Linked DNA regions of Drosophila melanogaster. Changing the gene in region 2 together with the main gene of any one other region gives a genetic interaction. Each region holds a gene or a part of one and is shown on either strand. Other genes may lie near its edges.

The links.
Region 1: of g (region 2) and p, changing one enhances a phenotype caused by changing the other (phenotypic enhancement), as found in Drosophila melanogaster (one study listed by BioGRID).

The regions. Positions count from the first base shown.
Region 1 is NT_033777.3:8,668,568-8,672,493, forward strand, and holds the start of p (pink), read right to left. Parts: upstream 2,118-3,926; 5' UTR 1,933-2,117; intron 1,362-1,932; coding exon of another isoform or gene 1,258-1,361; exon of another isoform or gene 962-1,257; intron 608-961; exon of another isoform or gene 514-607; intron 139-513; exon of another isoform or gene 45-138; intron 1-44. Other genes in the region: CG8036 (uncharacterized protein), read left to right, coding at 1,258-1,361, 3,144-3,926. UniProt on the Drosophila melanogaster protein: Has a role in the biogenesis of eye pigment granules. Eye pigment granules are specialized forms of late endosomes or lysosomes. Biogenesis of pigment granules in the eye requires molecular components required for protein delivery to lysosomes.
Region 2 is NC_004354.4:13,734,362-13,738,287, reverse strand, and holds the start of g (garnet), read left to right. Parts: upstream 1-2,009; 5' UTR 2,010-2,247; coding exon 2,248-2,346; intron 2,347-2,598; exon of another isoform or gene 2,599-2,757; intron 2,758-3,549; coding exon 3,550-3,645; intron 3,646-3,926. Other genes in the region: CG11134 (uncharacterized protein), read right to left, coding at 1-39; Grip91 (Gamma-tubulin ring protein 91), read left to right, coding at 482-1,186. UniProt on the Drosophila melanogaster protein: Part of the AP-3 complex, an adapter-related complex which is not clathrin-associated. The complex is associated with the Golgi region as well as more peripheral structures.

The DNA.
Region 1 (3,926 bases), on a different chromosome or scaffold from region 2:
ATAAAAACAAAAACGAATTGGATATTACAAAAAATTACAAAAAATCCTTCGAGCCGGATTTGAACCAGCGACCTATGGATTTCTATTGCATAATTTTCCAACTACAGTCCACCGCTCTACCAACTGAGCTATCGAAGGTTGAGTTCAAACTTGGCCGTTGTTCGTTTTATGCATGCGCACAAACGAAATGCACCGTATTTGGTTATTTATTTTTGATTTTTACTTATTTAGGTCAAACAAAATTGATCAACTTTCTCTATTCAGTCCATTGCAGTAAGCCTATAGTTTCCAAGCCTAATAGCCTAGGCGCTTTTCACAAACTATATCAATTTAGTTACGGTTTATTTCTTCCAAATAAAATCCTTCTTATATTATTTAGTTTAAACAGCTCAGTTATATTCTGAATGTCTGTAGATGAATTAAATTGATTTAAATTGTGCACTACAAAATATATAAAAAAAAAGGTATGTGCACTACAAAATATATAAAAAAAAGGTATTTATATCTTTTCGATCCTTCGAGCCGGATTTGAACCAGCGACCTATGGATTTCTATTGCATGTTTTTCCAACTACAGTCCACCGCTCTACCAACTGAGCTATCGAAGGTTAAATTCGCTTGCGGCTAATTCACCTTTTGTTCAGGAGCGAGGTGGGGAAAGTGACAAAAAGAGAGGGCACTTCTCTTAAACACCGCTGCTCTTTAATACTCGCGGCCAGAAAAATAGGACCTTAAATTCTTGTAAACTTATATTAAATACTAAAGCATTGTAAATCTTAATGAGAAAATATTCAGGTACAACTGTTCATGGCTTAATTTTAGACCAAAATTGTGCATGAATTTAGAAAGGCAGCAATGCACTATTTGAAACTAACTAGTTACCCACCCACAGCTGTGCACCGATAAAGGGGTGGTGTGCGAGCAAAGATGCCATATTTATACATATATCCATCTCGTTCCAGCGCCGACGATAGACGATACCGATACTTTGCGAGTCCGCTCCCAAGATTGAGCCCCCACAGCGTAAAAGCGACCGAAGTGCCGGCGACGAGAGCAGTTCGTTCCCAGAAGCCGGCAGCAGTGGTCCGTTGATAACTCCGACTCGAGCTACTTATCCACCACGTCGATACTCTTGTCTGTCTATTGCAAACATAGAGGAGTCACCCTTTGGCTAACGAATCCGAAACTCCCGAGTTTTGTTGTGCAACATATCAAAAACCGCATTTGTTCGGATCCAATTTACATTCGCATTTCAAAGATGTCGTACCACAAGCCCGAAGCTAAGACCGTCCAGGATCTGAAAGATCTGGCCCAGAAACTGCGAATTCACTCTATCAACGCCACCCAGGCCTCCAAATCGGGGTAAGTTTATCAATAACTGAAAGTCCATAGGCATATTAAAGTGTGCGTATTTAGATTTGTTTGTGTAGATGTGAATTTTAAAAGTTGTGCACCTTGCACTTGTTGCTTCAAAGGTGACCCCCTCCATTTCCAGGGTGGGTGCGAAAAAGTTTTTGAGGGGGCTGCTAAATACATACATACATATGTATGTGTTTTGAAACATTACAAAAGAAAATAAAACAAAAATAGTTACGCATATACATAGTTATGCATCTATGTTTGTATGAATGTGAGAAGTAAAATATGGGAAGACCGGTTCCTTTAGTGACCCCTCCTGGGATTCAGTTGCCAACCCACGTGTTGTCCAGTAGCTTTAGTGAATTTGCGAATTTGTTGCCCTGCCTGCGTGCTCAGTGATAAGCCGCGTTCACCTACCTTAAATTGTGAGCTAATATTTTTTGACCTTAGACAACCTTGAAACGTTAGGTTTTTCTTACTGCCTTTTAATTTCTTTTGCTTTTGTTTTGTGCGTGGCGTTCAAAACGCCGAAAGCACATACATATGTACATGGGGTAAAAACAAACATACTTACATATCAAACAGAGGCATTTAATATACGTATGTACATATGTACATACAAGTGTTGGAAAGCACAGCTTGTGACGGGAGTGGAATTGGAAAGAGAGGGATGAGAATAGTAATGGAATGATCCCCTACACTTGAGATTTACGACTGTATGGCTTTTAATGTAATTATATCTCGGATAGACGCGATCAAATTATTACTGCAACAGTAAATAAAAAAGTTACTATGCTGATAAGGAAAACACTTTTATCGCCTCCATTAGTTTTTCCATTCTGTTTCGTTTTTTTTTTTTTTTGTGACGGTTCAAGATAAGATCTGCTCTGTTTGCTCTAAATGTGACCTCTGCCGACGAGATAAGCCCGGTTTGGTTACTCATTGACCACGATATGACCGATTAGAGGTGACCAGCTCAAGTGTGTTCCCCGCATGATAATCGAAAATCACTGAAAACTGATAAAAAAAAAAAAAGCGCGCCGGGTCACTGCTAACACTCCGTATCACCTTCAATAGTTCTTGATATGGCTGCAGGAAACGGGGACGCACTTCGGAACTATCTAGAAGCACGTGCGTTCACAAAGATCGCCATGCAACACAATCGTGGAAGCCAAGAATTTGGTTTTTAAGGCTATTATTTAGGTTTTTTGGTGATCAGAAAAGTTCAAGGTCCCAGAAACCGGTGAGGAATTGCGATGGACTCACGTCGCGACAAACACACATATCACACCATATAACGCCAATAAATACATATGCATGTACTCGTTATAGTTTATTTATATGTCTGGGGTAAGACGAGCCCCCCATTTTGTCTGGGGTTGCGTGTTTTCTTTGCGGTTGGAGTTGTGCCAGATCTGCGATTCAAAGCAATTTTTTTTGGAACACGATCGCATGGGAACATTGAATTCCAAGAATGGATCTTATCTTATTTATATGTACATTGCAATTGGATACTCGAGAAATCTTCATTTGAAATATGAACAGAGGGGGGGGGGGGGGTTTAAATAAAAGCTTCAATAGACAAATGGATTTCTTTTATTAAACAACGTTTTTAACAAGTATGCACAGTGTTCAGTTCCACTTTTCCTTTGTTGATCGGCCTTCACTTACCCACCGTGAGGTCGACTTCTATAATTCATTAGGCACTTACCTTAACCTAGAACTACATGCAAACGAAATGCCTTGTCACAATCTAATATTTTGCCTACTTTTCCCTCTTTATAGCCATCCCACATCATGTGCCTCGATCGCTGAGATCATGTCCGTGCTGTTCTTCCAGCAGCTGCGCCTGAACCTGAAGCACCCACGCGATCCCTCCAGCGATCGCTTCATCCTGTCCAAAGGACACGCTGCTCCCATTCTGTATGCCGCCTGGGCTGAGGCTGGTCTCTTCCCCATCGCGGATCTGAACAACCTGCGCAAGATCGACAGCGATCTGGAGGGTCACCCGACGCCTCGTCTGAACTTCATCGATGTGGGCACTGGATCCCTGGGACAGGGTGTCGCCGTCGGCGCTGGCATGGCCTATGTGGGCAAGAACTTCGACAAGGCCGACTACCGCACCTACGTGGTGGTGGGTGATGGTGAGTCCGCCGAGGGTTCCATCTGGGAGTCGCTGCACTTTGCCGGCCACTATAAACTGGACAACCTTTGCGTGATCTTTGATGTGAACCGCTTGGGCCAGTCGGAGGCCACCTCCCTGCAGCATAAGCTGGATGTTTACCGTGATCGTCTGGAGGCCTTCGGCTTTAATGCCGTCGTTGTCGATGGTCATGATGTCGAGGAATTGAGCAAGGCTTTCCATTGTGCTGCAATCACCAAGAACAAGCCCACCGCCATCATTGCAAAGACGTTCAAGGGCAGGGACTTCCCCAACATCGAGGATTTGGACAACTGGCACGGCAAGCCACTGGGCGACAAGGCCGCCGAAGTGGTGAAGCATCTGGAGGGACTGATTGTCAACAAGAACGTCAAGCTGACCCCTAAGCCGGTGCCCAAGACTGGTGC
Region 2 (3,926 bases):
ATGCTCCGCCGGCAAGTCTTTGAAGATCGAGAGGGCCATCTCGCTGACAATGTGACTTTCGTGGGACGTAATCTTCGTCGCCGTGCGACACTGATAACGGGAGATAAAGGGATTCTGAAAGCGACAAATCACGAATGTAAACAATGCTGCCGTCGATAGACGATTGCAATCGGTGTATCGCTGTTAACACACAGCGTTGCCGTTACGATAAACATTGTCCAATTAGAAATGGTTTTTTGAAAATTGAATAATGTGCAATAGTTCATTAAGAGAACAAGATATTATTATCACCGTATTACCTCAAAAATGTTTCATAGCGCTGTTGAAAACGTTTTTTACAAGTATAAATATAATAAGCTTGCTACATTTGAACTTTTTTCAATTTTCTTGAGTAGTCCTATTCTGTAAGTCTTATTATAAACTTTTTTGTTTTTATGTGGCTCACCTTTGGAATTATATTGTTTATTAAACATCTTTTCAGGCCCTTCGTACAATGAAGTCCGAAATCGGCAAGGCGTCACACCGCCTCAACCTTTTCACTTCCGAGATCATGCACTTTATCCACCAAATGCAGTACTATGTGCTATTTGAGGTCATCGAGTGCAACTGGGTGGAGCTACAGAAGAAGATGCAGAAGGCTACTACGTTGGACGAAATCCTGGAAGCTCACGAGAAGTTTCTGCAAACGATTTTGGTGGGCTGTTTTGTCAGCAACAAAGCGAGTGTGGAGCATTCGCTGGAGGTGGTGTACGAGAACATTATCGAATTGGAGAAGTGGCAGTCGAGCTTTTACAAGGACTGCTTTAAGGAGCTAAATGCCCGCAAGGAACTGTCCAAAATTGTGGAGAAATCGGAAAAGAAGGGTGTCTACGGACTGACCAACAAGATGATCCTGCAGCGCGACCAGGAGGCGAAGATATTTGCCGAAAAGATGGACATCGCCTGCCGCGGCTTAGAAGTCATAGCAACCGATTACGAAAAGGCTGTCAGCACTTTCCTAATGTCTCTCAACTCTAGCGACGATCCGAATTTGCAGCTCTTTGGCACTCGGCTGGACTTCAACGAGTACTACAAGAAGAGGGACACCAATTTGAGCAAACCCCTGACCTTCGAGCACATGCGCATGAGCAATGTGTTCGCCGTGAACAGTCGCTTCGTGATATGTACGCCGTCCACTCAGGAATAGCGACCAATGTCCATGCAATCGGTTTATCCCAGTGTCCATACATCATACCAAATCCCAAATCCCATACAGCATCAGCACTCCATTCAGTTCAATTGCTGCTAAATATTTGAGATATCTCGATATCATTGGAGCCAATCCAACCAAACAAACTAATCCAATTATTAACTAAGCCTTCGAATCGAAAACAACCTCTATACATATATATCTCAAGCTTTGCCGTCAATCGCCTGGCTGCAAGCCATCAACTTAAGATATCTCCAATACAAAATTATTGAGTAGTTGTAACGAAAGTATTAAGCGACAATTTGTTTGTCGAAAAACGCAACGTTCTATTTTGTTTGCGAATCCCATAATTTTTTTTACATCGAAGCTTAGTTGAAATAGATTTTCGTAAGTGCATTTGCCAATTGCCATGTTGTAATTAAAGAGAATAAGAGAATGTTACGTACTTTAAAAGAATGTTTTAAAAAAGTTAATGTTTTGAACAGTTTTAAACCGTAATGCGAGCTCGAAATAAACGCAACTTGCATTGAAAGTTTCCGTCTCTATTTAATTATTATAAATTACAAAAATTTGGGTTATAAGAGTGTAATAGTTATTTATTCAATTATTGTAAATGCGTATAAAAAGAAAGCCGAAATATTCAGTTATTTATATTATTTCCTTCTCACTCTCACTCAAACTTTCTGATCTCAAAACGGTTTTGTAATCGAATGCGCAGCGAGTTATCGACAGTCCACGAAGCGGTTAACATTTCACCGCTAGCGAGTGCAGCCACCTACTATTCAGCGTAGCCAACCACCAACGTGCAGCAAACATCGATAGTATCGATTAAACACAAATTTGCGTACCACCTCTAGTTTGCGAGCGTATTAAAGTTAAAAAAAAAACGAAAACAAATCGGAAAAAGACGGAAGTGAGTGCTTTGTGCTGCCGCCGGTGATGTGCTGAAATCGCTTCGCCAAAATAGCCCAATTTCCCAATCGAGACACCGATTGCAAATCAAAGTAACGCCACGGAGTGCAGCAAAAAGAAAAACAAAAACAACAGCAACTGCAAACATGGCACTGAAAAAAGTGAAGGGTAACTTTTTCGAGCGTATGTTTGATAAAAACCTCACCGATTTGGTGCGCGGCATTAGGAACAACAAGGATAATGAGGTAAGCGTGCAGCCCCGCCTCCACCGCCCACCAAAACAGCTGTCCTCCAACTGCCACGCCCCCCCCAAGCGGCCCAGCTGTGCGTCCAATTAGAACTCGCTAATTGGCTGACAAATTTCGTTTGCATTAAGGGAATCTTATTAGAGTTTGGTGTGCTTGCATGTGTGCGTGTGTGTGTGTGTGGGTGAAAGTGGCTGTGTGTTTGTGTGTGTGAATGTTTTGGCATCTGCCAACAGTGCAAAAGGAAAAGCAGGAAAAGCTTGAAAAGAACCACAAAACCGAACGCAGAAACTCCCAACGCACCAAATTAATTAGCAAGTGGCTTTTATCAAATATTTACCCACGTTAATTCCCCCGCCGTTGGTCTTTTTATTCGGTCCTTATCAGAATGCTTGGCAGGATCGGCTAACGGTACTTGAGTTTTCACACGGAGAGAAAATTGCGTGTGATTTGCAAAAATAAAATTGTAGCTTCATTTGCTTCGATTGTTAGTAATTGCAAATATTAATGCAATAAAAATAATAATAAATAAATTGCCAAAAAATCAGTTTCCATCCAGTTATGGTTTGCATATCGTGCAACAAGAACAATTGAGAAATAAGAATATATGCAAGAATAACTAAGTTTGTCTACGTAAACAAAAAAATAAGTGGCTCTTGATTGAATTCGATTTCTATATCTTCCACTGCGCATTTCGATTGTTATTTTTGCTCTTGTGTGGTCCACTGTAAGCGCTGATTTACAAATGTGCTTAAAATTATAGCATTCATTCGTTTCAGTAAGATAAAAAAATAAATATTAATTGAAAATTGTGCATTTTTAATCTCAACTAAATGTTACTCATCAGCTAGCGCAGTTTCCATATAACTTTTCATGTAAACAACTTAAGGCGGCCATTATATTTCCATTTTGTACAGCACAAATGAAGAGTAAACAATCAAACTTTGTATATTTACATTCGATTTTATTAACAACTGCATCGGAATTAATGCAACAACACTATTATTCTACCCGCCACTGTATGATTTGGAATTTGTGTTTTTCTTTATTTTTGTTCTATTGCTGTGGGCATAAAACTGATAGCCCCACGACGATTCTCAGATATGTTTGTTGTTTTACTCTGCGCTGCCATTGCACATTTCGCATTTTCACATACTATATTTCGAATATAAACATATTGATTGACAATAACTTTCTCCGCAGGCCAAATACATATCGACGTGCATTGAGGAGATCAAACAGGAGCTGCGACAGGACAATATAAGTGTCAAGTGTAATGCAGTGGCCAAGTTGACCTACGTAAGTTGAATCTTGGAATCCTTAAACCAAAGACGCACCACAGATGATTAACTCACTATTTGCGAACAATGATGAGGGACTTTTAAAATTTATAGGGGTGTTTTAAAATGGTTAATTAGACAATCGCAAATGTGCTGTTCAAAAATAAGCTGATTATACGCACCGACAGCCCAAAGAGGATTCAGGATTCCCCTTCATTAGAATCATCAGTGCAGATGATTGCGTGTGCATGGATGTGCACCGGATTCTGGTGGCAGCCATTCAAAGTCGACCAAGTGCAT